Macaca fascicularis: one gene and its partners. The protein of the gene in region 6 interacts with the protein of the main gene of each other region in a pairwise test. Links are inferred from orthologs where the notes say so. Each region holds a gene or a part of one and is shown on either strand. Other genes may lie near its edges.

The links.
Region 1: the proteins of BHLHE40 (region 6) and MAGED1 interact in binary tests that used the Homo sapiens proteins (3 or more experiments, as listed by UniProt). The two-hybrid records come from large-scale screens. The link is inferred for Macaca fascicularis from reciprocal best matches to the Homo sapiens genes BHLHE40 and MAGED1.
Region 2: the proteins of BHLHE40 (region 6) and NAA50 interact in binary tests that used the Homo sapiens proteins (3 or more experiments, as listed by UniProt). The two-hybrid records come from large-scale screens. The link is inferred for Macaca fascicularis from reciprocal best matches to the Homo sapiens genes BHLHE40 and NAA50.
Region 3: the proteins of BHLHE40 (region 6) and WHR1 interact in a two-hybrid assay, tested with the Homo sapiens proteins (2 studies listed by BioGRID). The two-hybrid records come from large-scale screens. The link is inferred for Macaca fascicularis from reciprocal best matches to the Homo sapiens genes BHLHE40 and WHR1.
Region 4: the proteins of BHLHE40 (region 6) and RHOBTB3 interact in binary tests that used the Homo sapiens proteins (3 or more experiments, as listed by UniProt). The two-hybrid records come from large-scale screens. The link is inferred for Macaca fascicularis from reciprocal best matches to the Homo sapiens genes BHLHE40 and RHOBTB3.
Region 5: the proteins of BHLHE40 (region 6) and HIVEP1 interact in a two-hybrid assay, tested with the Homo sapiens proteins (2 studies listed by BioGRID and IntAct). The link is inferred for Macaca fascicularis from reciprocal best matches to the Homo sapiens genes BHLHE40 and HIVEP1.
Region 7: the proteins of BHLHE40 (region 6) and AANAT interact in binary tests that used the Homo sapiens proteins (3 or more experiments, as listed by UniProt). The two-hybrid records come from large-scale screens. The link is inferred for Macaca fascicularis from reciprocal best matches to the Homo sapiens genes BHLHE40 and AANAT.

What each region holds. Positions count from the first base shown.
Region 1 is NC_088395.1:51,862,427-51,866,619, reverse strand, and holds the start of MAGED1 (melanoma-associated antigen D1), read right to left. Parts: upstream 2,801-4,193; 5' UTR 2,759-2,800; intron 1-2,758. UniProt on the Homo sapiens protein: Involved in the apoptotic response after nerve growth factor (NGF) binding in neuronal cells. Inhibits cell cycle progression, and facilitates NGFR-mediated apoptosis. May act as a regulator of the function of DLX family members.
Region 2 is NC_088376.1:169,422,714-169,426,932, reverse strand, and holds the start of NAA50 (N-alpha-acetyltransferase 50), read right to left. Parts: upstream 2,801-4,219; 5' UTR 2,501-2,800; coding exon of another isoform or gene 2,493-2,500; intron 1-2,492. UniProt on the Homo sapiens protein: N-alpha-acetyltransferase that acetylates the N-terminus of proteins that retain their initiating methionine. Has a broad substrate specificity: able to acetylate the initiator methionine of most peptides, except for those with a proline in second position.
Region 3 is NC_088378.1:139,734,294-139,738,448, forward strand, and holds the start of WHR1 (inactive serine/threonine-protein kinase 19), read right to left. Parts: upstream 2,801-4,155; coding exon 2,554-2,800; exon of another isoform or gene 2,522-2,553; intron 2,469-2,521; coding exon 2,259-2,468; intron 2,128-2,258; coding exon 1,991-2,127; intron 1-1,990. Other genes in the region: DXO (decapping and exoribonuclease protein), read left to right, coding at 3,096-3,451, 3,621-3,856, 3,943-4,155. UniProt on the Homo sapiens protein: DNA-binding protein which is required for efficient transcription-coupled nucleotide excision repair (TC-NER). Acts as part of a TC-NER complex which assembles and interacts with RNA polymerase II (RNAPII) when it stalls at DNA lesions.
Region 4 is NC_088380.1:99,721,235-99,725,478, reverse strand, and holds the start of RHOBTB3 (rho-related BTB domain-containing protein 3), read right to left. Parts: upstream 2,801-4,244; 5' UTR 2,454-2,800; coding exon 2,452-2,453; intron 2,276-2,451; coding exon 2,050-2,275; intron 1-2,049. UniProt on the Homo sapiens protein: Rab9-regulated ATPase required for endosome to Golgi transport. Involved in transport vesicle docking at the Golgi complex, possibly by participating in release M6PRBP1/TIP47 from vesicles to permit their efficient docking and fusion at the Golgi.
Region 5 is NC_088378.1:160,820,604-160,824,103, reverse strand, and holds part of HIVEP1 (zinc finger protein 40), read left to right. Parts: intron 1-2,044; coding exon 2,045-2,178; intron 2,179-3,046; coding exon 3,047-3,222; intron 3,223-3,500.
Region 6 is NC_088376.1:143,199,394-143,203,460, reverse strand, and holds the start of BHLHE40 (class E basic helix-loop-helix protein 40), read right to left. Parts: upstream 2,801-4,067; 5' UTR 2,523-2,800; coding exon 2,443-2,522; intron 2,280-2,442; coding exon 2,210-2,279; intron 1,949-2,209; coding exon 1,841-1,948; intron 941-1,840; coding exon 817-940; intron 1-816. UniProt on the Homo sapiens protein: Transcriptional repressor involved in the regulation of the circadian rhythm by negatively regulating the activity of the clock genes and clock-controlled genes.
Region 7 is NC_088390.1:82,916,278-82,920,212, forward strand, and holds AANAT (serotonin N-acetyltransferase), read left to right. Parts: upstream 1-1,135; 5' UTR 1,136-1,284; intron 1,285-2,218; 5' UTR 2,219-2,293; coding exon 2,294-2,447; intron 2,448-2,710; coding exon 2,711-2,865; intron 2,866-3,202; coding exon 3,203-3,508; 3' UTR 3,509-3,646; downstream 3,647-3,935. UniProt on the Homo sapiens protein: Controls the night/day rhythm of melatonin production in the pineal gland. Catalyzes the N-acetylation of serotonin into N-acetylserotonin, the penultimate step in the synthesis of melatonin.

The DNA of each region.
Region 1 (4,193 bases), on a different chromosome or scaffold from region 6:
ACTTTTCTGCATGTATTTACATTTACTTAAAATAATGTCTGCAAGTGTCAAATGGTTCAGCCAAAATAGATCAAGAAATAGATGGATGGATGGATAAATCGATGGACGGATGGATGGATGGATGGATGGATGGATGGAGAAAGAGAATGAGTAATAGAGAGAGTGAGATAATATGGCAAAGGTTAACAGTTGTTGAATCTAGGTCCAGAATATAAAAGTTTTCATTGTACTCTTCTTTCAACTTCTGCTTAATTTTTTATTTAAAAATATTCTGGTAAAAAGAGGCATTATCCATGCCTCTCAGAGCTTAATATCATATCAAGCACCTGATATGATCTAAGTTGTAAAAGAAGCACAAAAAATATAACTTCTATACCAAGATTGTTTTATAAAATAATAAAATATTCTGTATATTTTCTATTTCTCATTAAGAAACAGAGACAGAGAGAACCAGACCAGGACTGAGTGTCTGAAAAACCTTAACTCCATAAACTGTACCACAGTTTAGCAAGTTACTACATACCTCCTAGTCTTGGTTTTATCATCAGTAAAATGACAATGATAATACTGACCTTAGAGAATGGTTTTGAACATTAGGGAGAAAACCATATTTAAAAGTTTTATCTGTTATAAACAAGTACTGAGTTCATTTCACTTTACCATACCAAATATTTATGGACAACATATTATGAACACATAGTGATAAGAGCAGCGAAAGAGATAATCATATATGCCATGGGTTAGCACACAATGAGCCAGCAATCAACAAACTGACGATGAGGTGGGTATGGAGACAGTGATATGTCTTACTAGAGAGGCTGACAAGTCGCCTAAATGGTAGCAAGAAGCTAGCCAGAAAGAAGAGAATATGAGAAATGTATGTGAATGGATCAAGTTATCTGAGTATGCAGAGCATTGAATTAATACTATGCAGAAAAGTGACCACTAGGGGAATGGGAAAGTGGGGGCGGGTTAGGAAACAGAGTGAACAAATGCAGAGACTATGACATAAATTTTGTTTTCCCATTAATATCTGCATATTGTGTGCCCTCACTTCCTTCAGGTCCCTGCTCAAATATCACCTTACCAGTGAAGCCTTCCTGCCCATCCTATCTAAAATAACAGAGCCTCTCCACATTACAACCTATTATATATTTATCTTTTTTTGTTTTTTTTTTAATTTCTTCATATCTTTTTGTTTTGTTCATTTAACACCAGTGGCACTTGCCAATATATATTGATTATATATTAAGTTATTGTCTGTCACCCAGCTAAAGTTTAAAAGACTTTGTTTTTGTTATCCACTGTTGTATCCTTAGTGCTGAGAACACTGTCTGGCAAATAAAAATTATTGAATAAAAAATTATTGAATGAATGGATGGATGCACAGTGGGCTGAAACAAGTATGATAACATTTAAATGCTGTCTAATAATGATTTAAATAGAGTATAAAGAGACATCAGCAATACTCTTTGGAAAAGTTCCTAAGTGTTGTGGTGTCACAAAAGCTCTGCCTCATTGTTTATTCTTAAATAAAAACTGTACATGGCCTAGAAAAGATAATCACCCCTTATTTTGGCAAGCATAACACACAGGAAGGAGTCAACTGCTTGTTCAAAGAGAACTTTGGTTAAATTCTTCGTTAGATCCTGATAGAGCCTGGAAAACACTGATTCTCACCATCAATTTAATGATCATTTGGTAAAGGCAATAATAAGTTGTGATTATTATTTAATAACTAATGTTCTCACAAGATAAATTTGACATGGTCACAAATGTAAAAGTACATTTCACATTGCAATAAATAGATTATGTAATACTTGCAAAGCTCTGAGAAAAAGTCTTTGTCTGAAAAACGTCAGCTTGCTGTTTAATGTTGCTATCAGAGACCAGAAAAGAAACTGCATAATAAACTCAACTCATATAAAGTAATAAATTTGTGATTCCTCCACTAAGAGAAGTTTTACAGGGGATAGGAAAGCTTACGCTGAAGCTGACACCAGGTTATAGGTATAATCCACTATGTCTGCCCCCCAGAATTTGAGGATTCAATTCTATAGCAACAGAAAAAAATAAATGCAATATGTAGAAGACTGAAATCTGTGCAATAGTATCTAAATGATGTGTAATTTTGTTGAGTTAAAAAAATAAAAAAACATAATTTGGACAAGTACCTATGTCTCTTAGGGCTCTAAGGTTTCTGCTTCTTTGCTTATACTTTAAAAGAACCAAAAAAAAAAAAAAAAAAAAAAAGCCTTGACCTTGAAGTCACACCTACTGTTGCAAAGTACGTAATTTATTGGTCTCTGCGGGAGGGGAATAGGAAAGACCAAAGGCCAGCAGGGGGAGTAAAGCAGTGTAGGAAAGGGCTTGCAAAGAGTCGCAGGTTAAAAGGATGGGGGGCAGAAGGCGGAGGTGAGAGGTAGGAGGTAGAAGTGACCTGTGGTAGAGGGAATGACCCTGGCTCAGATCAGAGAAGAGGATCCGGGATAAAGAGGAGAGGTGAAGCATGACCGGGAGTCAAGCGGATAAAAGGACCACAAGAGTCAGGAGGTGGGGCAGGTGCGGGCTCCCCATCTCCTGAGGAGAAGGGAGGAGACGGTGAGATCAGAACCACAGGCGCCAGAAGCATCCATCATACAACGTTCGCGGGGATGAATTCTCCTTTCCACCCCACGTTGAGGCACAAAAGGAGGTTTCCCTGGAGTGTATGGGGATTTATTTGTGAGAATTACCAAGTCCCCTTCTTTACACTCACCTTGACGAAGAAGGCAGCGACGATGGCGTGACCGGAAGTGCTGTCCTCTTTTGTTTGGCGGAAGCTTTAGCTTCTGCAGCCGCCGCCCCCTCCTTCACTTCAGGCAACTTCCTGTGCCTCTCTAGCAAGCTCTGCAATGCTCTATCTCATTGACTCCCTCAATAGATGAACACATACATTGTGATGTAAACCGGCTGGGAGAGAGAATCACTAACTTTTTACAAATCCTAATTCTAGTCGTGCCAGGAACCGCAGTATCTCTGCCAAATCCTTCATGTACAATTCGCCACCTCTCCTTGTTGATTCGCCTTAGGAATATCTCCGTTCATCTTAATCCCTTAACTCAGGCCTCATTTTCTCTGTCTTGGACGTCTACAGTTACATATTTTCCAAACTGATTTACTGTTTTCTGGCACACCACTTTTAAAAAGTTCATTTGTATTAGCGGTGTACTTCAATTTCAAGCTTTTTTAAAACATCTTAAATCTAAATCATTTTTGCTTTGAAATCGTATCCAGAGTTACATACCATATTCCAATGTCCAAAGAATAGAGGTGGACTTATTTAGAAAGCACTCTTGCATTATTTTACATACTCCCCAAGAAAAAGAAGAAAATGAAAACTGAAAAAAATGTTTCAGTAATAAAAATCCGTACTCTGGTTAAATACCTTCAGAACAAGTTTAGAATTGAATTATTTATTGCCACTACCTCCAGAAAGTTCTCCTGGCCCCCAAATCTGCACCACAATTCTCACCACAGGGGACGATCTCTTGTGGCTATTTTTAGTCATTCCACAAGTATATACTGAACACCTACCATGTCCCAAATACTATGCTACACCCAGAGACATTATACTAGGATCCCACAGCCTAGAGCTAAAAATGGCATTTAAACACTTAAGAGCCTGGCATAAAATATGTGTTTATCAATGCTTGTTAAATGAATAAATGACCAAAATGTGGTCAGAGCAAAGAAGGAAACTAGCAGTAAGGTCCTTAGTTTTGCTGGTATTTTTACAATTTATTTCAACAATTTGACTCACGTTTCCCACTAAGCACTGCTTTACCTGCATCCCACCAATCTTTATATTTTGTATTTTGATATTTTTGTGTATTGATTCTAATTTAGTTCAAAATGATCTCTAGTTCACCTTTGTAGTTCCTTTTTTTTTTTAGACGGGATTTCACTCTGTTATCCAGGCTGGAGTGCAGTGGCATGATAATAGTTCACTATAACCTCAAACTCCTAAGCTCAAGTGATCCTCCTGCCTCAGTCTTTTGAGTAGCTGGACTACAGAAGCACACCACCATGTCCAGCTAATCTTTTTTTATTTTTTGTAGAGACGGGGTCTTGCTTTGTTACCTAGGCTGGTCTTGAACTCTTGGGCTCAAGCAATTCTCCTGCCTCAGCTTCTCAAAGTGCTGGGATTACCG
Region 2 (4,219 bases), about 26 Mb from region 6:
ACTATAAAACTGACCACACTGTGCACGGTGGTACAAGTTTTGGAACTGAAGGCGCTTAACTTATTTTAAACCTATACTGTTGTAGGTTCGGTATCCAAACACAAGGTTCACACAACTCATTTGTTGAGTGTCTTAAATACAGACTTAGAAGTAAAAAAAATTAAAAAGTTTCATCTCACCTGAGAGTTCATTTGTTAAGTTAAAGGGATTATTCCTGTGAAATCATCTTAAAGGTTTACAGTAAAGAATAAAATTCTAAGCTCCCAATCATAAGAAGTATTAAGAACTTCACAGGCATAGTTACTGGCATAAAGGTACAGATTCAATAATTTTAAGTTTCCTCTAAATTCGGCCAGTTACCCATTTCTAGGGATCTGCCTTCATCAGGTTACATGTAAATATCCATTTTAAACAGAGATAATTGCTCCATGAATATACTAATTAAAGGTAGATTGTGAATAATATGACTGTTCAGCTCCATTTCTATCGCCAAGTTAGGTATCAGAAAGAACATCACACCCTATAGAGTCTGAACTAGATTGAAGATTTTGGATCGAAACATACAGAATAATTTCCTGGCATCCCCCTTTGTAAATCCATGGCAATTTCAACACTGGGAACTCTTCAGCCTCGTTTTTCTTAACAGAACATGACAAATAAGTATTGAGTGCCTGACAATGAGTACAAAAATGAGTAAGAGTCAGCAGCTATGCTCAAGAAGTGCAGTATATACCACCCTTGGTGGCTCACGCCTGTAATCCCAGCACTTTGGGAGGCAGACGTAGGTGGATCACTTGAGCAGGAGTTTGAGACCAGCCTGGCCAACACAGTCAGACCCCCGTCTCTACAAAATATTCAAAAATTAGCCAGGCGTGGTGGCACGCGCCTGTGGTCCCAACAACTCGGGAGGCTAAGGAGCGGGGACTGCTTGAGCTTGGGAGGCAGAGGTTGCAGTGGACCGAGGTCGTGCCACTGCACTCCGGCCTGGGCAACAGAGCGAGACCCTGTCTCATTTAAAAAAAAAAAAAAAAGAAGAGAAGAAAAAGAAGTGCAGTATAGCAGAAAAACAACATTCTCCAAATATGTTGGATTGTCATCTGAAATAGCCGAACTTCCCAGATCATGATTCCAGTGGGGCAAATACTTCTTATACCCGTCAATTTTATTTCCCCAACTGGAACTCTTTAGAACTTGATGTGAAACAATGCAGGTATTGTGAATAGTTCACGGTTCTTAAACTTTAAAGATTCTTAATACAAAACATACAACTCAACATTAGAATAAATATACAGTATTTAAAGGAAAATTAAGAGTAAGGAAACATGTTACAGACCTAAGACCAAATTAAACTTTCTTTGAATCTCTTCAGGAACCTCAAACACCGATACAGAGAGATATTATTTAGGTCCTTGTTTGGGGATGTATAAGATTACGATGAAAGTGACTTTTATTTCATCCTCAAAAGGGCTGTTGAATAGTTGGAATGACTTCGTTAACTTAAAACATAGTTACGATTTCTTAATCGATTTACAGAAACAACAAACTACGGCATCGCAGAGAGCTTTTCACGTTTACGAGCTTCATTTCTTTGAGGGTAAAGACAAGTTCCAAAACGGCTTACTGATGCAATGCTTCGGAAAAATGTTATGTAATTAATATATTAAAACTATACAACTTAATGGTAAGGAGACATTTCATAAAAATTTAAACAGTCGGTCCAAAATAATTCCTGATTTTACCTAAGAGGCAAACGATGACAGACCGAACATTAACTTTGCCAATCACCTGAAAGGAGCAGCGTGGTAAAACTACCCAGGACCGCATCAGCACTCAGGGGCAATAGTGAACCACTGAAGCAATAGCTCCACCTACTGATCCACCCTATACTTCCTTAAACATGTTGGCACCCCAAGTCTACAGCGATCGCGCTCTCTCCCCCTCCTCCACTCGCTGTGACCCAACCCAAATCTAGTTGAGTCACTAGCTCTTAATATTCATCCCCGTGCTCTTTATTCCAATTTCTTCTTCCTCCAGAAGGTTCTGCACAGCTCCCAAGCGTGAATAAAACTGAAAGGTGTCAAACACCGCAGTTCCAGAGTGGAGTCTGGAGGTGGAAGACAACCAAACCACTCCACCTGGAGCGGCGGGCCGGCGTGGCTCAGAGGTCCGCTCCCGGGAAGGAGGCCCCGGGCGCCTCATAATAGCCTTTCCATGTTGCCCCACTCAGCTGCTTCTCTCCACTCAACCCACAATCGTCCTCCGAACCGAAACCCTGAAGCCACCGGGTCTTGCCTCCGCTGGCCCTTCAGCCCGCCAACAGCCCAAGCCTCGCCTCCGCCCCCTCCGGGAACCGAGGAAACTGAGAAGGCGAGAAATCTCCCTCCGCCGGTCTTCGCCCTGAATCTCTCCTCGCCTTCGCAGCTCTCCCCCTCTACATGGGCCCGGGCCCTTCTACCCCGCCGGCCGGGCCCTGCCCGGCTGCCCTTCCTCACCCTTTCATCTTCCCCGCCTGCTGAGGCCGTCGTTACCACCGATATCAACGCCGTCGTAGTCGCCGCCCTCAGGTCTCCGCGCCCTCAGCTCGGGCCACTCAACCCCGCAAGCCGGCCTCCTAGCCTGGGCAGGGAGCTGGGCGAGCAACGAAGGCCGCGAGAGTCGAGTGAGGGCTTGAGTCTGGTGGGGGCGGGAGTGTCTCCCGCCGCCGTGCTGGTGCTGCCGCTACTCCACACGTGCACTCGGGTCTCTCAGCTCCCTCCCGCCGCTGCCGCCAGCCAGACCCGCTGCCGCGCTGTGACCTTTCACCCCGCCCCTCGCGCGCCGGCGCGTCAGCCGCCTCGCGCGCAGTCGTACTGCCAGCCTCCGCGCACCCTGCCCCCTCCACTCCGGAACGTCCATCTTTCTCCCGGACTGTGCCTTCTGGCGTCATGCTCCTCCTTCCCACCCCCTTACGACACTGCTTGTGGGGCTGGCTCGGTAAGCCCTGGCGGTAAAATCCAGATTTTTCCACCCCTCCCTCTTCTATCTCATATCCGCAAGATTGGTTTTCTCGGCCCTGTTCTTCCCGGTTTGTGGTCTCCAGAGTGACCTTCAAACGCACTTGCCTCCTAGTAGAGTTTTATAAAGCTGGTTCTTCCAAATGTAAAGAAATCTGTGTAAAGCTCAAGTAAGTTAGGTGTTTTAAAGCAAACGTGGTTAACAATCGGCCGGATAGATTGGCTACCCTCCAGCACGCCTCAAGTTTTGAGATCACGTGATTGGCCCAAACCTCAGAACCTGGAATTTTACCGGCGAACTCCAGAGGGACGGAACCCCACCGCCATTTCCTGTCCCTCGATCGTGGCGTGAACGTCACTTCCTTAGCAATGCGCTCTAACTCTTGCTGTCCACATTTTCCACATTGTACTTTACAACATAGTCCTTGTGAAAATTTATCTTTTATTTCTTTAATTCAAGAAGATTAATATTCAAGGGATACGTAAAAATACAAGCCCCCCGAGATGTAGCGCGCCGGGATGGGGGAGGCAGGGCGGAGCTCGACGTCACGTGACTGGTTGGGCCCGCCCCTCCCAACCCTGTGCAGCTGAGGACTTCCCCCCGTGGTGACAGAGCCTCTCGGTCCTCGGTCGGTACGGTCTCTGCACCTCGCGCCCCAGCAGGTGAGCGGCGGCCGGTAACTGGCGAGTGGTGGGGATAGAGGGGGTGGAAGGAGGCAGAGGGGAGAGAAGGGAGAGTGTGAACGGCGACCTCCCTGCCTGAGGCTTCCTCCCCGCTGTCACCCTGCACCGGCAAGGAGCTCCTTTCTCTTTAACCCCCGCTCCCCCAAGTGTGGTCGTTCCCGCTCCTTGGGGTTTGAGATGTCCACCTTTCCCAGGGTTGGAAGTGAGTGCGGCCATTATGGTTCCCTACTCAGAGCCTTTGGGGCTTCGGGTAGCAGATCGTTTCAGCCATTTCACAGGGTCTGCAGTAGACATTAGGTCCCATTCCTTAAAGCCCGTTCTTTGGCCAGGGTCCTCACTGTCCTTGCCCTCAGCTCAGGGCTGAGGAGCGGGGAGGTAGCAAAAACCCTGGAGGCAGAGGCGTCTCCAGTGAGACAGGCTTGGGAGGGACTGTCACTGATACGGCCTTCACTGCAGAGTCACTGAGAAGCTTCCCTCCGAAGGTGCTTTCTCAGTAATTCTAAGGGTTTTATCTGACAGACCTGCAGGGAAGGTTCCGGAGA
Region 3 (4,155 bases), on a different chromosome or scaffold from region 6:
TTTTTTTAGAGACAGGGTCTCACTCTGTCACCCAGGCTAAAGTGCAGTCGTGCAATCATAGCTCACTGCAGCCTCAAATTCTTGGGCTCAAGCAATCCTTCTGCCTCAACTTTCTAAACAGCTAGAACAACAGGTGCATACCACCATGCCCAGCTAAGAATTTTTGTGTTTCAATTTATTTTATTTATTTAGTAGAGATGGGGTCTCAGTTATTTAGTAAAGACGGGGTCTCACTTTGTTGCCCAGACTGGTCTCAAACTTTTGGTTTCAAGCTATACTCCTGCCTCAGTCTCCCAAAGTGGTGGGATTACAGGCATGAGCCACCACACTCAGCCTAGATTTCAGTTTATATTTTACTTTACCTCTTCCCTCTTCTTAGACCACTGTCTTGAATCACAGGTTCTAATACTGCCAACTACTTCACTTTCTCAAAAATCTCTTTACTTTTACAATAGGCCTCTTCCTGGGTTACCTTTTTTTTTTTTTTTTTTTTTTTTGAGACAAGGTCTAGCTCTATCACCCAGGCTGGGGTGCAGTGGTGCTATCTCAGCTCACCTCCCCAGCTGAAGCAATCCTCCCACCTCAGCCTCCCCAGGTGCGTACCACCATGCCTGGCTAATTTTTGTATTTTTTTTGTAGAGATGGGGTTTTGTCATGTTGCCTATGCTGGTCTCAAACTCATGAGCTCAAGAGATCCACTCACCTCGGCCTCCCAAAGTGCTGGGATTACGGGCGTGAGCCACCGCCCCGGCCTCTGGGTTCCTCTTAACTCAGGCAATTCCTTCTCTGCCTCTGCCACAGATTCCTCTTCTTCTGCTTTCCCTTTATGTCAGTGGATCTCAAATTTTAAGGCACACTTAAAAAGGACTTGAGGCAGTTCAAAAGTGTAGAGTCCCAAATCCCACCCCAAGAGATTGTAACTCATTAACTTTGGATGAGTCCCAGGAACCTGTATTTTTTAAATAAACAGCCCATGTAATTTTGACACAGGCATAACTCAGCTCATACATTCAGTAACACTGCCTTAAATGACAGTGTTTCCCAGCATTGTGGATTTGACCCTATCAACTTCCACTCTAAACTTGGAGTCCTTAACCATGGACCTCAGAAGATTAGTGAAGTATTTCCCCCCAACTGTACATACATCCTATGTATATGTGGCATACGTGCATTTTTCTGGAGAGAAATAGCCATAACTTTTATCACCTTCTAAAGATTATAAAAAGGTTAGAAATCACTCCTCTACCCACTCTTCCTACTGGATCTCACCACATCCACAGAATTAACCACTTGCTATTCACACCTCCATGACTTGTAATTCTATTATCACTGGCCAGAATTCTCTCCAACTCTAATATCCACTTGTCTAATACGTTTGTCTTTGGATGCTCCACATGCACCATCAACTCAACTTGTACAAAATTAAACACATTATCCGTAGTCCAACAACTAAATGTGCTCCTAATACCACCAGCCACGCAGTCATCCGGAAAGTCTGAGTTTTCCTGGACTCCTCCCTTTCTCACTCTCCTCTCCCTCCGTACTGCACTGACCTAATTTAGGCCTTCACCACTTCTCAGATGCAGTGTCTTCTTAGCTGACCTCCCTGCCTCATCCACTACCTCCAATACACCATTCCCTCTCTCTATGACATTCTCTACCAGCCCATCGCCTCAGTGTAAGATGGAAACAACACTGATGTACAAGGCCTGTCATGATCTGACGTCTGTCTGCACTCCCAGTGCTCTATGTTCGAACCATGCCCCATGACTCGGTTTCCCCAAAAGCCTCGTTCTTCTCCCTCCATGGTTGAAATGCCCTGTACTGCCTGCGACCCATTTAACAGGGTCTCTGTGGCACCCCAGTGCCCGGAACAGTGCCCTCCCCTGAAAGGCCTAATGCTTGCTGAACAGCTGGCGGAGTGACTGAGGGACAGGAAATTTTAGGAGTCAGGAAAGGGGCCTCCGGCGGTCGCACCGACGCCCCTCACCAGCTGCCGGTCGGCCACGGTCCTGTCAGGCACGAGGCTGTACACCTGGCTCCTCAGCACGATGGGCGGCAGAGCGTCCTCAAACAGACCTCGCGGGAACAGCTGCATGAGCTCTGAGACAGCCGCGCGCGCCGACCCTGGACCGAGAAACCGGGTCAGAGACAGGGAACTGGGGCGGGGACGCGGTTCCAACAAAACTCTCGGCTACCGGAAGCGAGGCCCCACCCAGCTGGGGTCTTTAGCCCCGCCCCGGGGTTGCCATGGTTACCTGGCTCGCCACGAGGAGGATCCGACTCCACAAGCCCTCGCTTCCGCCGCCTCTTAACTCCAAAGGTCTCCGGGACCAGGTGATGCCTTTTTCGGCTCATATCCCGGGATTTTATGGTACCGGGGAAGAGGTAGGAATGGAGGGAAGAGAACCTGAAAATAGGGTCTTCCGGCGCAGAACAGTGACGTACGGTCTCCCCGGGCGTCCCTCCTAGACCAGGTGATGACGAAAAGGGCGTCAACTTGTCATCCCTCAGGCCAGTCAGTGTTGGGAAGGGCGGTGGCGACGCAGATACCCGCACCACGTCCGCCGGGCCGGGCCTCACGCCGACCGCGGATTGGCTCCCTCCAAGGGCACGCACGCCTGGGGACTCGTGGGCGGCGTGGAGGGGCGCCGGTGGCCACGTTGGGATCAGCCTCCTTCGTAAAGCTCACACCTCCCCGGCCCCGGGAGGGGTTTGCCCGCCACTGTCGCTGAATGATTGCATCATCGAAAGCAGAAAAACCACTTTTGCATCCTTCGGCCTCTGGTGTGCCTGCCATGACGTCATAGCCCTGCGGAGGTGGAAGTTGGGGAGCTTTGAGGTAACTGGATTCTTGATCTGAGCGCAGGCGTCCCTCCTAACCTCACTGCATTTGGAGGACCTGGAGGGAGGGTGGGTGAAGGGCAAGCAAAAAGGCAGGATGAGAGCTTGGCCGCGGTGGCGTCTGAGGGGCCTGAATGTTTCAAGGCCAGAACCTGGCGATCAGGTGGCTCGCTTAGTCCTAAACCAGTCATCCTTCTCCAGGCCTCCTCTGTAAAATGGAAACTCTGTCCGCCTGCTTCCCTTAGGACCTCATGGATCCCAGGGGGACCAAGAGAGGAGCTGAGAAGACAGAGGTAGCTGAGCCTCGGAACAAACTACCCCGTCCAGCACCTTCTCTGCCCACAGACCCTGCCCTCTACTCTGGGCCCTTTCCTTTCTACCGGCGCCCTTCGGAACTGGGCTGCTTCTCCCTGGATGCTCAACGCCAGTACCATGGAGATGCCCGAGCCCTGCGCTACTATAGCCCACCCCCCACTAACGGTCCAGGCCCCAACTTTGACCTCAGAGACGGATACCCGGATCGATACCAGCCCCGGGACGAGGAGGTCCAAGAAAGGCTGGACCACCTGCTATGCTGGCTCCTGGAACACCGAGGCCGATTGGAGGGGTGAGCAAAGCGTGGCAGGCAGTGTATCTGGAGACCCGTACCTACCCTCTAAAATTAGGAGAGCCACAGCCGGGGTGAGAATCAGTCCTTAGAAGAAAGACTATTCTTCGAGGGGAGCATCTCACTAATGCTTGTGTCAGACCTTCAGCCTGTAACTCCTGCCTCTCAGGGGTCCAGGCTGGCTGGCAGAGGCCATAGTGACATGGCGGGGGCACCTGACAAAATTGCTGACGACACCGTATGAGCGGCAGGAGGGTTGGCAGCTGGCAGCCTCTCGGTTCCAGGGAACACTATACCTGAGTGAGGTGGAGACGCCAAAAGCCCGGGCCCAGAGGCTTGCTCGGCCACCGCTCCTCCGGGAGCTTATGTACATGGGATACAAATTTGAGCAGTATATGTGTGCAGGTGAGTTACCCCTGCTTCATAGCCCCCTTCCCCTTCCCAGAGATTGAGAGCCCCCCACCCCTGCTGCTGCTTCTCTCCTTGTGCAGACAAACCTGGAAGCTCCCCAGACCCCTCTGGGGAGGTTAACACCAACGTGGCCTTCTGCTCTGTGCTACGCAGCCGCCTGGGAAGCCACCCTCTGCTCTTCTCAGGGGAGGTAGACTGCACAGACCCCCAGACCCCATCCACACAGCCCCCCACCTGCTATGTGGAGCTCAAGACCTCCAAGGAGATGCACAGCCCTGGCCAATGGAGGAGCT
Region 4 (4,244 bases), on a different chromosome or scaffold from region 6:
TGATACATAACTATACTAAAGTTATAACAAACACTTTATTTTTATATTAGCTACCACTTATAGAGCAGCTACTAAATGTCAGCCTCTATACTTAGAACGTGATGCGTGCTAGTTTCTCATTCACTTCTCAGCACAGCTCTAGGAGGCAGATTATTTTATAGATAGGGAAAATAAGGCTGAGAAGGTAAGTGATTTAACAAGGACACGCAGACCTGAAATGGCAATGTGAGAATCTGAAATCAGATCCTTTTGATATCAAAGGCTGTGCTTTATCTGCTCTATGTAATATTCTGATTCCGTAATATATCAAATAACAGTTTATTAATGCAATCAGCTTTAGTATCTCTGATGGGCTTTACTTACCACCAAGTGAAGAAAAGCACCTTATAAAGAGCAACTCTAGAAATGGAATCTCATATCTGAAGATCATTATAGCCCAGCAAATTGTACCGGGTTACAAACTTGGTGCCTTAAATAGGGCCAGAGTCTAACCAAACAAAAAGTGATTAGCAAAATAAACCATAACAACCAGCATATGGGAAAAATCCGTACCATAGAGGCTTATTTTCTCCATTTGGAAGATTTCATTTTACTAGACAAAGTGTATGGGATCACAAGCATTGCTGTTTGCAAAATTAACAATATAAACAGGAAAGTGTTAACAGCTCAAATTAAATATAGGGAAAGCAATCCTAACATCCTAATGTAGCTAATTTTATTTTCCCTACGTTTACTCTATTCACCAAACATTTGTTCAACTGCATGTTGAACCGTTATGTTTTTAGGCTGTAAGATCTTTCACGACGAAAGAGTCCAAGTAAAAGAAGTGTTTCATTTGCCTGCATAGACTCTGGTCAGTAAGCTCTCCATCACACTTCTTATGACCAGCGTCATCACTGTCATAACTAGGGGTTTAATAGCATCTCTTAACTGAAAAGGTCTGTTTTTTATTTTACCAAATTAACAAACTTTCTTCTTTAACTGAAAACTTACACAAGCGAGTGATCTTCTTTCTGTTACATGGAATTTTGCATAAAAAATTTTTCCAAGTACACTCTACACATTTTTTAGAAAGGCATGATAGTTTCCTATAGCCCTGATTCAGTTTTTAAAATTGCTGTTTAAATGTGAAATCTCACACAATGACAATTCGTATTTTTTCAGGCACTAAACTTTCTTCTGTTATTAAATGTAAACTTAGCTGAAACATACGTAACTCCAATATCAGTAAAGAGTCAGAGATTTTCAAATAAGACCAAAGGAAAACATTCAAACATAATGTTATTGTATACTGAAAATACTTATATGTGTCAGAAAGTAAATTCCTTTCTCCCTTAATCAAACACTCAAGAATCGGGCTACAATTTATCCACTTCACTACAATTTTGTTCAATTATTACAAATTTTAATTTTTTAAGTTTTCCAAGCAACATTAGTAATATTATTTCTGATTTATGAGTCACTAAGACAAATGGCTAATACATAAAGAGTATTTGCATTATTAAAATTAAAAGTTTTCAGAGATCAATTAATAGTGCTATAAATGAGTCATTTAAAATTAACTCCCAGTCCCTGTCTTTTCCTCCGCTTTCCAGAGGAACTATTTCTGAACTGTCCCAATGAAAAGTATTTTTGCCTGTGTTGAGCTTTGAGAAGGCTATATTTTTAGAACACCAATATTACACTATCACCCATAGGGTAGGCATAAAAAAACACTGCTTTCTGCTGGTGAAACTTAGTGACCCCGTCCCTTGGAGTTGGCACATTCAACTGTCAGCTGCCTCCCAAGGGACAACCCACAGTCGTGAAGTGTACCAGTAAGTGCTCCACATTCCCACTGGGGCCTTCTATCTTCCTAAGAGTCTTCTCTGACGGGGCTGTGCCCTGCCCAGTGAAACAAAGGACCGAATATTTTCTCAAAAATGTTTGAAAATTTGACCCATGTAACGCGAACACTCCACACTCACGGAAGTGGGCAGAAGGGGGAGGGGGCAAAAAAGGAAAGAAAAGCTTCTTCAGCCTTGGCGTGGAGCAGCTGCTGTTCCTTACCCAGACGGGACAGTCGTGGACCACCAGTTTGACATTCCCAAACGCACTGGCCTGATACTCGGTGAACACTGGACGCGCGACCGTGCTGGCCGCGTTCAGCAACAAGCTGCTCTCGTCCCCCGAGACCAGAGGGCTTCTCCCCAGGTAAGTGCGGATGAGACCCGACGGCCGGTTGTCCTGGTGGAACGCGTCCCCCTCGTTCCCCAGCGCCACGATGTGGATGGACCTGCACGGACAGAGAGGGGGCGAGGGGAGAAGGGAAGCACGGTCAGCGCGCGGGTCTCTCTTCGGAACAGGAAGTGCGGGGGACAGCGCGCGGCTAGGATGGGCACCAGCCCCCGTCCCTGGGGCGCACGGCACGCGCTGGAGAGAGACAATGGCAGGACGGCGGCGCGTACGTACATGATCTCAAATCCAAGGGCAGGGCGGCGACTCGGAGAAAAGCAGCGGCTTACGGCCTCGCGGGGCCCCCGGGCGGCGAGTTCACCCGCAATCCGCTCATCCCCGGCCGCGTCCCTCTCGCGCGCCTCCACCGCGGCGGGGCCGACGCAGAGCGGGGCCGGGGCCGCGCCAGCCAGCAAGCGAGCCGGACACCAGGGTGGGCTAGCGGGCGGGGGGCAAGCTGCTGCTACTCAGAGACTGCCCGGGAACATCGCCGGGCGCGGGACTGCCGCGCAGCCCCGAGTGGACGCAGCTGACCGCAGTCCCCTCTCCGCCGCGCCTCCTCGGCTGGCAGCTATCGCCTCCTGCTGCTGCTGCTGCCGCTGCTCCTCCTCCTCTAGGCAGAGAAGGGGGGTCGGGGAGATCGGGGCCTCCGCCCCCTCGGCGGACCGGGCGAAGCACGTGCCGGCCCCGGGGGTCGGGCGGACACAGGGAACGCGCTCCCCGCCGAGGCCCCGGAGCTCCCGCGGCGGCGGCCGGACACAAAGGAGTGGCCCGCGCGGGGCGCCGCGGAATATAAATTAATAAATACAACGCCCCAGCCCGAGAGCTCCCGACCGCCAATCCGCCTGCAGCAAGTTTGTTCAACTCGCAAGGCCGTAACCAGAGCCAGGAAAGGGGGGTGGGGCGATGGGGCCCCCGCTCACTCCGGACTGGAAAAAGGAGGTTAGGGAAGCTAGGGATTCCAGCACGAGTGCCGCCCCAGCAACCCGATTTTCCCCCCTCTTGGCTTTGACCGAAAGTGCTTTACCACGACTGCCGCTTTGTCATTTGTCAACATGCGCTACTGCTGTTTTCTAAAATCATACTTGTGAGAAAAAATAAAGGCAACATTCATGCCGCTGCAGAAAGGGTTCTTTGTTCGCACACCAATTAATTTGCTAATGTCGCCTTGGGGGGATTATTTACTATTTCGAGCTATATTTAGCGTATTTTAGCGAAAACTTCAGGATTTTAAATGCTGGGATTTTTAGTGTGATCGTTTTTAAAGGAAGTTATGTATGGGGGTTTAATGTGTTGGTGAGTTAAATGCTAGTTTACTTGAAGATTTTTCTGTACACATTATGGACACATTTAATAATAGCTCCGCAGACCAACTGAAAACATAATCATGTAAATGCAAAGATACTTTAGATTCTTTCATAATAATGCACTGAAGTAAAGGCTATGAATATCCCTAGCGTGCTTCAAACTACCTCAATACAAACGAACACTGGGATCCACTTACTAACACCAAAATGGGCCAGGGATTACTCTGGGGTTAGACGCCTCCATACAGTATTAAAATTCTAACCAGTACCTTACTCCGTGTTAAAAAGAGTTCTTGCTTATCCTTTTATCTATTTATTTTTCCCTTCTGTAAAATTGGACTGTTTCTTTTCTCAACTGAGCTATTTTGAGGGTATGAAAGAAGGGGTATTGAGTAGGGTAGTAAAAAACTAGGGTAACAGCTTTTTATTATGGGCCCTTATTGCTCGGTTAAAAGTAGTTTAGTAGTTTCTCGTGCTCAGAGAAGATATAATAGCAGACATTCTTTATGTGGTCACTAATTTTTTTAAATCTAATTTCCCTTTGCATTTTCTATGATTTCTCTTTTAGTCTCTAGAACCTAAACCATCCTTAAAAATTCCAGCATTCAGGATCACTTTTTCTCTTGGGTTAATGGAAAATATATTTTCTCATCAGTCTCTTCCAGAAACCCATAAGTCAAAAACAAAGACACTAGAATGGATGAATGGATAAAGAAAATGTGG
Region 5 (3,500 bases), on a different chromosome or scaffold from region 6:
GATGAAGAAAGTCCACACTCCGGTGTGGAAACTGAAAGAGATTGATCATAGAGGAAGGAGAAGAATGAGCAGAAAGTGGCATCACACAAAACATGGAAGAAGATATTCAAGGAGAGTTGTTAGGTCAAATAAAGTTGAAGGCAAATGGGTATATCTGGACTGTGCAGATCACTGGAGAATTGAGTCTATGAGCAAGTGGCTATGGAGGATGGATTACTGGACTTTTATCTACAACCCAAATGTTAATGCATTTATGATTCACAATGGGAAAGAACAGATAGATGCTATGAAGTAAAAGGATTTCTAGGTGAAACATGGCATCTTCAACATATAATCCATAGAGTGCTAAAGCATGTAAAGACTAAGATTTTGGCATTTAGCTCGTTGATAACTTTGGCAAGTAGAAGCCAGATTTAATAGTACGAAAGTGAGCAAAAGATAAAGGGGAATTTGATATTGAAAATAAAGAGGGTTACTGTTGAAGGGATAAAGTCAAAGGAAGGTGTGTGCATATATTCCAAATTATGCGGAAGCCAATCTGTTTGCCAGGAAAAGAGAAGGAAAGGTTGCATCAGTAGCTCTTCCCACTGCCTTTTTGAGGAATGTGGAGCAGCAACTTTTCTTTACTCCTGCCTGTGTAAGGATGGGCCTCCCAAGGTATTATTCTGAGGCCACACAGACCCCTCTCCATAATGAATAGACTCTTATCTCTTAGTATTATTAAGTCATTTCAGCACCACAGCTGTCTGCTTGACCATATAATTTCTTCAGAGAGGTTTGCATAAAAGAAGCCCTGGGTAGGAAAAGTTGTGCGTTGCATTGGATTCAGCCAGATGATTAGAGTTTGAGTGTTTGCCTAACACTTGCCCTAGGAACTTCACCCTGAGAGTGCCCTTCCTCACTGGGATATATAGTCCACCTGTGCTGCCTGCCTCACAGGGACCCGAGAAAATAGAATGGCACCATAAGTGAGACAACGTACCGTAAGGGGTGGTAGCATAAAATCTTACATAAAATCACAAGGTGATATTATTATATTGTTCCTGTAGGAAAACCACACATTGTTTTATCATTTTGATTTTGATGTTCATTACCTTTTTTTTCCAGAGACTTAATTGTTATCAAGCCAAAACCTAACTTTTTGGCTAGACCTGGATGTCACATTTAACAGTATTCAGTAAACTTTTGAGAAGATAGAAATAATTATGGTTTTAGCTGGGCATTGTGGCTCATGCCTATAATCCCAGCACTTTGGGTGGCTGAGGTGGGAGGATCACTTGAGGTCAGGCGTATAAAACTAGTCTGTGCAACAGAGCAAGACCCCCATTTCTACAAAATTTTAAAAGTAGTCAGGTGTGGTGGCTCACGCCTGTGGTCCTAGCTACTCAGGAGGCTGAGGTGGGAGGACCTCTTGAGCCCAGGAGTTTGAGGCTGCAGTGAGCTATGGTTGTACTACTGCACTCAAGCCTGGGCGATAATGAGACCCAATCTCAAAAAAGATTTATGATTTAAAATAGTGGAGGAAGAAAAAGTAAAATAATGGGAAATGGGGCTTCTGCTTTACTTTATACTGCACTGAAGCTGAAGGAGACTTAGTGATGTTTCTAAGGGGTATGAGGCATTATTTTACCAAAAGGGGTAACTAGCTCTTTTCCATCTCCAAAAGTAAACTCTTTTAAGAAATGTATTTAAACGGTAGTATGAGTGGTTGGTTAAATGGAAGAAAAAATATTTAGTCTACTAAAAAAAGTTTCTGGTAAACTTATGAAATACCATGGTGTAGGAGGTTGTAAAGCCTTTAGTTGGGGGTGTCAGTGACCTGTGGTGGAATTTTAAAGTAACATAAGATTTATCATTTTGCTGTGATTGAGACAGATTCATAAGGGAGGAGATAAAGCAAATGCCCTTTGAACCTATTACTACTTTGAAATGCATTTCGTTGACCATATGCTCTGTACTCTGCCGTGTTTTAATTTCCGGTGAAAGATTAGCATGTTTGTGTTTTCAGTTTTATTAAATTAGTTTCTCTCTTTTTTCCTTTCAGAGAGCATTAGGTAATCAAAAGTCCACAGTAGTTGAATTCAGCAATAAAGATGCCTCTGAAATTAACAGTGAGCAAGATAAAGAAAATTCCTTAATCAAAAGTGAACCAAGAAGAATTAAAATATTTGATGGAGGGCAAGTACAAATTTTACTTCTTAAATGTACATTTAAACTTACTTTTTAAATGTACATTTGCTTTCATGTGAATGAAGACTTAGCGCCAATTTAATATCAATGTTGCAAGGTTTCTTAGCATATTAACAGAATCTCCATAGCAAAATATGTTAGCATTATGTTAAATAATTTTATTTTGATGGAGAAATGATGACTATTTGGGAAGTACTATACAACCTTGAAGGCAGCTGAAAACTAAATTATTAGAGTGAACCTTGGTTTTCACATTGATTTACAATAAGGAATGACCTAGAGAATCTGCTCTCAGATGAATTCATTGCCCATTTGATATCTTTGTGTATTTCGTTGTGAGCAAAAACATCATAAAAGCCAATTATAGTTATAGTAAAGCTCCAAAATATTTCAGTACTTAAAAATTATTGTGATTGAATCTAGCAATGAAGAAAAAATTTAACCAATGACTTAGAAACAGGAAAGTATTTTAAAATTACATACAGTAGTGGAGTGCAGTGGTGTGCGCCTGTAGTCCCAGCTGTTCAGGAGGCTGAGGCGGGAGGATCATGTGTGCCCGGGAGGTTGAGGTTTCAGTGAGCTACGATTGCACCACTGTGCTCCAGCCTGGGCATCGGAGCAAGACTGTCTCTAAAAACAAAACAAAGTATAATATTGCAAAAGTTTGTTTGATTGGAATTAGCTGTATTAAGTATTGATGTAAAAAGTTGGAATATTCTGTTACTTACACATGCATAAAATTGTTATTGGTTGAGTATAAAAGTTGTGCCTTGTTTTATTTTTGGTTTTAATCATCATTATTTTCTTAAAGACATAGTGTCCAATCTCCCTATTCATTTTTTTTTCTTTAAATTAGATATAAGTCAAATGAAGAGTATGTATATGTCCGAGGCAGGGGAAGAGGAAAATACATTTGTGAAGAATGTGGAATACGTTGTAAGAAACCTAGCATGTTAAAGAAACACATACGAACCCATACAGATGTCCGCCCCTACCACTGCACTTACTGTAACTTCTCCTTTAAGACTAAAGGTATGAGATGCACATTGCTTCAAGGTCCTTTTTGTGTGTATTTAGGTGCTAGAGCTAAAACCCAACTATGCGTTTTCTTTGACCAACGAAATAGTAGCTTAAATAGACTAATGTAAATTACATTTTGTCAATGTTGTAGTCTTATTGCTTTATATAATTTTAGAACCATTGGAAAATTTTTAATTGTACACTTTTAGAATAAATATATAATTAATATTTTTAAAAGAGCAACTGCCCTTTTTAAAAAACTTAACTCCTTAAATTGCAGTTGTACAACA
Region 6 (4,067 bases):
CATGCTGTTATCTTTAATTAGGCTCTCTATTTCTATATCTTTTCCACATATTCTATCCATGATCCTCAAGACATTAGGTATGACCATCTTCCTATTTTTAATGAGGAAACTGGCAGAAGCATTTGCTGGGTTTTTGCAATTTTCATCATACGAGCCTTGGAGAGGAAGGCAGAGAATGAAATGAGGGAGTGGGTAGAATAATTCTCCCCAGTCAGTACAGTATTATTTGGAAGAAGTGAGACTAGAAGGTTAGGTGACTCCGATTATCTGGAAGTCTGTTGAAACGAATGATGAAACTTCAGTGGTTTCGCTAGATTGTGCAATTTACCATGATACCTAGTGGCTATTCAGGGAACCACATGAAATGCAGGAAAAACTCCTGCTGTATCCTGCCAGGATCACACCACACACCAAGTGACAAGGAAGCAAAGAAACAGGAAAACACTGGGGCATACCCACGATTTCTTCTCCAATGAAAGAGGGCTAAGAAGACCAACTGTAAAACACCCACAAGGCAAATTATAGGTGCCTTGGCATTTTAAAAGGGAGTAGGGAAATCTCCCAGAACCCAGAGACTCTCAAGCTAAAATGCCACAGGAATATCTTATCATTTCACTAATACGTATTCATGCCAGGTGGCACACTGCATTTCAAATGAAAAGTCTGACCTTTTAGGAAAGATAAAACTGCATCTCCCCCAATGAAGGTGCATAAGCAGTTTGTTGCAGTAATGTTTATTCCATCAGATGTTGAGCCCACAGGCTCTCTATTTGTGCTCAAACTCTTAAAAAGAGGAGAGCCAGAATCAGCACTCACCAGCTTGTAAACCGCTCTGCAGGGCAATGATTTTCTGCTGCTGCTGATCAATTAGGTTTGTTAGTGCTTTCACATGCTTCAAGGTAAGTTCAAGAACCACTGCTTTTTCCAAGTGACCCAAAGTCTAGAAGGAAAAGAGCCTTAGTCAGCGGTGAGGTCAAAGAAGTCCCACCTTTGGGATATTTCTTAGCAAAGAGAAATGTCTCTAAAAGAAAAAAAAAAAAGTGGATAGTCTTTCTTCGTTGGCTGTTCTAACACACATATATATAAAATATATATGATTAAATAATTTAAAAAAGGGTGCCATCTCTCTTTGGAGGCATTTTGGAAGCTGCAACTACCTCAGGAAAACGCTTTGACAGATAAATTTCTCCAGCAGCCTCTGCTGACCTTAACTCAGGGGAATCCAGAGATAACATTTTTCTGCAGGGGTGTCAACTCAGAGAGGGACCTCTATTATGTCTGGCAGCCAATAGGCTTTCCCTACTTCTTTCCTTACACCCTTTCAGAACTTCCAGCTCATTCAGGCTTTTTTGTTCCTCCCAAAATACTTTTTTTTTTTTTCCATTTCCCCAACCAAAGGCTGCCAAGTAGCTGAGGGCTACTGTCAAGAAAGGACAGGCCGTAAAAATCACACACCAAAGCAAGTCCACTTATTTAACAACAAAAAAAAAGGTGGGGGGAGTGGTGGAGGGAAAGGGGTAAATGTGTGTGTTGCTTGGCGTGTTCCTTTAAGTTAGAAAAACTAGGGAATCCTGAAAATCACCAGAAGTTAAACTCTTGAAAAGGAAGGCCAGTTGGTGTTGTAGCCAACTTGGAGAGGTCCAAGCGGTTCTCGCCTCATTTGCATGAGTCAGCCAGAAAACGCAAGGACTGTGGAGGAGGACCACACCACAGAGCCACCCGCCAGCTCTGATCCGCCCGTCTGGTCTGCAGTTCCCCGCGGAACCTGCAGGCGGCGAGTGACCCCCGCCCGCCCTCTGGGCAAAGGACTGGGTTGGAAAGGGGCCAGCTTCTCACTTACTGTAAGTTTGAGATGTTCTGGTAGGAGATCCTTCAGCTGGGCGATGCACTCGTTAATCCGGTCACGTCTCTTTTTCTCGATGAGCCGGTGCGGCAATTTGTAGGTCTCCTGCAAGACGCACGGGGAGGCGGTGGGCGCTTGGGAAAGGAGATGAGAAGCCTATCCTCCCAGCCCCGCAGCACGAGTCCGGCAGAGGAGCAGAATAGCACCCAGAACCATCATCTGCCCCTTCTTTTCCAAGTCACTCAGAAGAGGCACCGAGCCCACACCCTGCATACCCTCGCCAACCTCAAAGCGAGAAAACTTTTCTTGGAAACTCAGCGCGCGCGAGGGGCTGAGCGCAGGGTCCCCAGGGGTGCACTTGCTTACCTTGCTGTCCTCGCTCCGCTTTATTCCCCGTCTTGACTTGTACACTTGGTACATGTGGGCAAAATCCATCCTGCAGGAAGAGAGACCAGGAAGGGTCGTGACTGCTTGCGCACGGCTGCAGGCGTTCTGCCGGGCAAGAACCCCCCGGTGCGCCCGGAGCTGCTCCAAGTTGAGAGTGGCGCATAACATGGGGCTGGAGTTGAGGCTTGAAGGGCCAAGGAGTGCCAACTTACCCTGGTAGGTCTCCGTGCTCCAGTCCCGGTGCTTTGGGCAGGCAGGCGGGGGGTGGTTGCGCGCTGGGGATCCGCTCCATGGTGCGGCGAGCCGGGGCCACTGCGCGCTCCTGTCTGCTCTAGCGGAGCGTCTGGATGAGGACTGTCCTGGAGCGGGCTTCGGGGGTCTCTCCGCAGATGTTCCTCTGAGTCTGAGCTCTTTGAAATCCCCTGGGCTGCTGGAATCTTCGGCTTTGAGATGCAGCTTCAGTTGGGGGCGTGCATGGCCCGGTGTCCCCGCGGCCTCTGGCTCCAACTCAGCGCACAGACTGGCGGTGTGTGCTCCCTGCGCGGTCTGCGCCGTGCGAGCCAAGTGAATGAGAAGTGGGGCGGGCGGGGAGGCGGGAGGGAGCGGGTGGGGGGGGGCGGTTAGGGCGGAGTAGGGGGGGTGGGGGCACAAGCCGAGGAGTAATGGAGAGGCTGCGGGCTGGGTTAAATGGGAGCGAGTGGGTGGGTTGGAGCTACGTGTTCTACCCTGTGACTCCAGGCACGTCTGGCCACTGCCGGGGAGGGAAGGAGCGACCTGCCCGCCCTCCCCCGGCTTCATCACATGAGTCTCACGTGTTGGACAACGCTCCGGCGGCTGCTAGGGAGCCCCCACCCCCAGCCCCGGCCCCCAGGTGTCTGCGGCTGCGGCCGCCTTTCCCCGAAGAGGGGGTGGCAGCGCAACCTGGGTCCTGCCCAGTTGGGTGGGGGGCGCGGAAGCTGAAAGGGACGGGGCTGCTGGGGGAGGGGGAGAGTTGGTAACGTGGGCGAACCTGCCCCAGGGAAATGAAGTAAGTTCCCGTCTCCTGGGAGGGAACGGGGGAGGACGGATCCGCCCGCGTCTGACTCAAGCCGGGAGAGGAATATCCCCTTGCTAGCTCCAGCCCAGCCCTCTTCCTCCTCCCCCGCCCGGCCCGCTTGGAGGAACCGGCGCTCAGCGGAGGGAGTCGCCCGGCCCCCCAGCCTTCCCCAGAGGCTGGGGTTTCTTTCCGTCCTGGCTTCCCTGCCCCCACTGCTCACCCTCGCGTCCAGGAATTGCCCGCCTTGGGGAGGGACCGAGGGGCGGGGCGGATGTCACCCCATGGGAAGCGGGCAGACAGCCAAGCGCAGGGGCAGCTGAGGCTGCCGCCGAGCACGCCGCGCGCACCTGACCGAGGAGGGTGTGAGCCGAGGGCCCCTCGCTCCCCAGGAGCTCCGCTCCCGGGCACAGCCTGCGGGCGGGCGGGCACCTGGTTGCGCAGCCCCCTGGGTGCCCCAGTGTCACCCCCTTCCTCCCGGCCAGTCAAGCACAGAAAGATACCGGGCACGGTGCCCGGTGTTCCCTCCCTCCTCTGCCCCCTCCAGAGCAGAGGCGCCCGGGTCGCCTCCCCTCCGGCTGCAGCGTTACACAACCGCGGCGGCGGCGCCTGCCCTGCAGCAGCGCAGGGCGTGACGCTTCACGTGGCCGGGGCTCAGGTCGCAGCGCCGCGGACCGCGAGCCCCTCTGCGTTGACCCAGGGACTGAGACCCCGGGGACGTGGTGTGCCAACCCGGATCGGCCCTCTCCCTGCCTGTTGGGAACTTCGGCGGCGCTGTTTGCGGTCTGCACCCAGGGCAGGAGG
Region 7 (3,935 bases), on a different chromosome or scaffold from region 6:
GCTGTGTCCCAAACCGTGTGGGTAGGAACAGGAGCTTCCTCTGCGGGGGTTTGAAAGAGTGCACCTGTGAGGACACTGAAACCCAGCAGGAGAATCATGAAGACAGGAACCAGGAGTCTCATTGTGAGATGCAGTGAGTCCCACCAGCGCAGCAGTGCTGTGCATGTCAGGAGGTTTTGCCCCTCCCACTTCACTTGTTGGATGGCTCTGAGCAGGTTACTGAACCTGTCTGTGCCTCGGTTTCCTTCTCTATAACATATGGTTAATACTCATTTGACCGGGCTTCCGTGTGGATTAAAGGAGATACGTATCCAGGGCCCAGCACGTAGCAAGTGCTGTAAGCAGTGGCGCTCACAGGCTGCCAGGACAGGAAGGACCCTCAGAGGTCTGTCCCAAACTGTGGGTAGGAGCGAAAGCTTCCTCTGTGGGGGGTCAAAAGAGTGCACCTGTGAGACGCAACCTTCAGAACCCCCAGGAGCCTGAGATGGACAGGGGATCTGCACTGCTGGATGGGGCAGAGAGGCAGGCGCTGGCGCGGCAGGGGCCTGGGGGGTTGGGCAGGTGCCGGTGAGAGAAAAGCTAAGGGGCGCAGGATGGGGTGTGAGCTGGAGGGCAGGGGGTAGTCAGGGCTGACTGGGAGAGGGGCCTGCATCCCGAGGGAACGCCAGCACCAGGTGCCAAGGCCCGGGCAGCCATGGGAATGGGTGGAACCAAAGTCAATGGCAGTCAGAGAGCTTTGTAGTTGAGATGTTTGGTAGAGCAACCTCCTGAATATTTAAGTAAACTTGAAGTAGAACATACTTAAAGTGCACAAATTGGTAGCTTGAATTCCCACCCCCTCTCCCACATAAGAGGTGGGCTTGTCCAAGACTCCAAGGGACAGAAGGGGAAATCGCTGGTGCCCAGCCAGTCGGTGACAGAGCAGGGATTAGAGCTGGACCCCTGAGGCTAAGCCCCATGCTCTCTTCCCCAAACCCTGGGGCCTCAGTCAGCCTCTGGTAATCCCTTCTGTGCCCAGGGCACCAGAGCTGACGTTTCCCTTCAGCAAGGCAGGGGCAGAGGCTGCCAGAGCCCTGCTGGCGTCATCCTGCCTGGGATAGCTTGAGAGGTGGGGTGGGGGGGATTAGAAACCTCTGAGAACAGCACCACAGGCTGCCCTGGTAACATCTGCTACTACAGCCTTGTAGCCAGGAGTCCTGGATTTTCCTGGTTCCTGTGCCCGCGGACAGGTCCCCAGGGCCACTGGCTTTGTGGAGGGAACACGGTGCCCTCTCCACAGCCCAGGTAGGTGGAACCCCAGCTCCTGGCTCTCAGCCTTCAGGAACAGGAGCTTCCCTGCTTGGAGCTTCTAGACATGGAGGGAAACATGGAAGTCATGGAGTTTATTAAGTGTCTTGGAAGGTGGAGGGAGGGATGGCCTCCTCTAAGAACTGCAAATTTGCAGGGTGTCTTGGGAGACAAGAGTGCCCAGAGAGGCATGTCCGATGAGCTGGACGTGTGGGGCAGGGGGTATCCTATGCATCCTCCTTGCCTGTTCCTCCCCATCCCCCAGGCCCTCTGCAGCCCCCGGCTCCCTCTAACCTACCCACCCCCCACCACAAATCCTGCATATGTGTGGCCCAGTCTGAGGCCATCTGGATAGAAATAGAGGCTCCCTAAGGGGATTAAGGGGCTTTTTCTCTAGGACCAAGGGCTGAGACTACCTAAAAAGCTCTCCGCCACAGGATCTTGCACCCAGAAAACCAGAAGCCTCCCTCTGGGGAGGTAAGATAAACCACATGAATGGTGGTGTGGGGGACCCGGGGGCCCACCCACTGCACAGTTGCATTAGATGTGGTCAGTGGAGGGTCAGGAGTCCTGCCTCCCCGCTGTGGGCAGCAGGGTTGGGGTGCCCCAGGCTCCATGGAGCCCTGCTCATCCCTGCCACCATTTCTGGGGCTCAGAAGCACCCAGAAGGCACCTGAGACCAGTGTCTGCAGGTCTGCAAGGGGACAGACCTCCAGGGATCCTTCTGGCTGCGAGGGAAAGGTGGGGAGACAGTGCCAATGTTTGTAGTGCCTGGTAACAGCCTTGAAGACCAGGTACCCGGGGAATGTGCCCATTGATTTGGGGGCTGGCTCCACCCAGTTCCTGCTATAAAAGAGGCCAGATGCACAGTGTGGGGCCAGACTCCCTGGAGATGAGGATCAGACCCCTGCCCCTTGCTGTTCTCCAACAGGTGCTGGGAGGCCCTCCGTGGCTTAGGAGGCCACTTCCAAAGGTGGGGTGCCCCAGGGAGGCACCAGTGGCCAGGATGTCCACACAGAGCACCCACCCCCCGAAACCCGAGGCCCCGCGTCTGCCGCCTGCGATCTCAAGCTGTCAGCGGCGCCACACGCTCCCTGCCAGCGAGTTTCGCTGCCTCACCCCGGAGGACGCCGTCAGCGCCTTTGAGATCGAGCGTGAAGGTGAGTGGCCCCGCACAGGGTCAGAGGGAAGCTCCACTCCGGTCCAGTTATCCTGTGGGGAGGAGACCCTTGAGTCTCCTGTCTTGGAGGCTGGGTCCCAGAGTATCAGACCATGTGTGCGCTCAAGAAAGTGGAGGAAACAGCAGCCCTAAACCCCATTTTCTTGGGGGGAATGGGGCATTTGAGTAGACACTCGGGGTGCAGCAGACAGTGGACGTGAGGCACAGCGACTACCAGTTGCCCACCTGAGCCTCCTGCCACAGCCTTCATCTCCGTCTTGGGTGTCTGCCCCCTGTACCTGGATGAGATCCGGCACTTCCTGACCCTGTGTCCGGAGCTGTCCCTGGGCTGGTTCGAGGAGGGCTGTCTTGTGGCCTTCATCATCGGCTCACTCTGGGACAAGGACAGACTCATGCAGGTGAGGACGGGGCTGTGACGCCCAGCTCCAGGGAGGCCTCTGAAGACAGAGGTCAGCCAGACGGTGGGGAGGGGAGCCCAGGGGCTGGGATTTCTTCCTCCAGAACTGGAGAGATGAGTATAGGCCACAGCCCCCTCCCAGGGCAAGGCGTTCTGGGTTTTCAAGTTTTCTCCATGGGGATGGGGGTATGGCTCAAAATTTGGGGCCCTCCTCGGCTGGGGCGGGAGCCCTGACCACAGGCACCGAGGGGACACCTGCTCCCTGCCTGGGTCGGTGGCTGGGGAGGAGCACGCATCAGCAGAAGTGACCTGGGCTCTCGTCCCTTGCTCACCTCCAGGAGTCACTGACGATGCACAGGCCTGGGGGCCACATAGCCCACCTGCACGTGCTGGCCGTGCACTGCGCCTTCCGGCAGCAGGGCAGGGGCCCCATCCTGCTGTGGCGCTACCTGCACCACCTGGGCAGCCAGCCGGCTGTGCACCGGGCCGCGCTCATGTGCGAGGACGCGCTGGTACCCTTCTATGAGAGGTTCGGCTTCCACGCCATGGGCCCCTGCGCCATCACCGTGGGCTCCCTCAGCTTCACGGAGCTCCACTGCTCCCTGCAGGGCCACCCCTTCCGGCGCAGGAACAGCGGCTGCTGAACTGGGCTGCCCACCTGGCTGCCAACGTGATCCCCGTCTCTGCCCTGGGCCCCTTAGCTCAGCTGAGCATGGAGACAGCAGTTTCCAGAGTGGAGAGAGCAGGGCTAAATAAAGAGGAGATGGGGTGGCTTCTCACAGCCCGAGCTGGAGTGGTGTGTCCTGTCTGTTCCCACGAGGCCTCTGGACCTCCTGTGTTCTGAACTCTGTACCTGAGACTGGGCTGGGTTGGTAAGTGGGGACAATGGGAGGCGCTGTGGGTTCCCTGGCTCCTTTCCTCCTCCTGGCAGGTGGGCAAAGGCGCCAAGGCAGCATCCTGACAGGAGCCCATTGCTCAAGGGGGGTCCTTATTCTCCCCAGCCTCGTGGATGCCCTTTCTCACTCTTTTTTTTTTTTTTTTTTTGAGACGGAGTCTCGCTGTGTCCCCCAG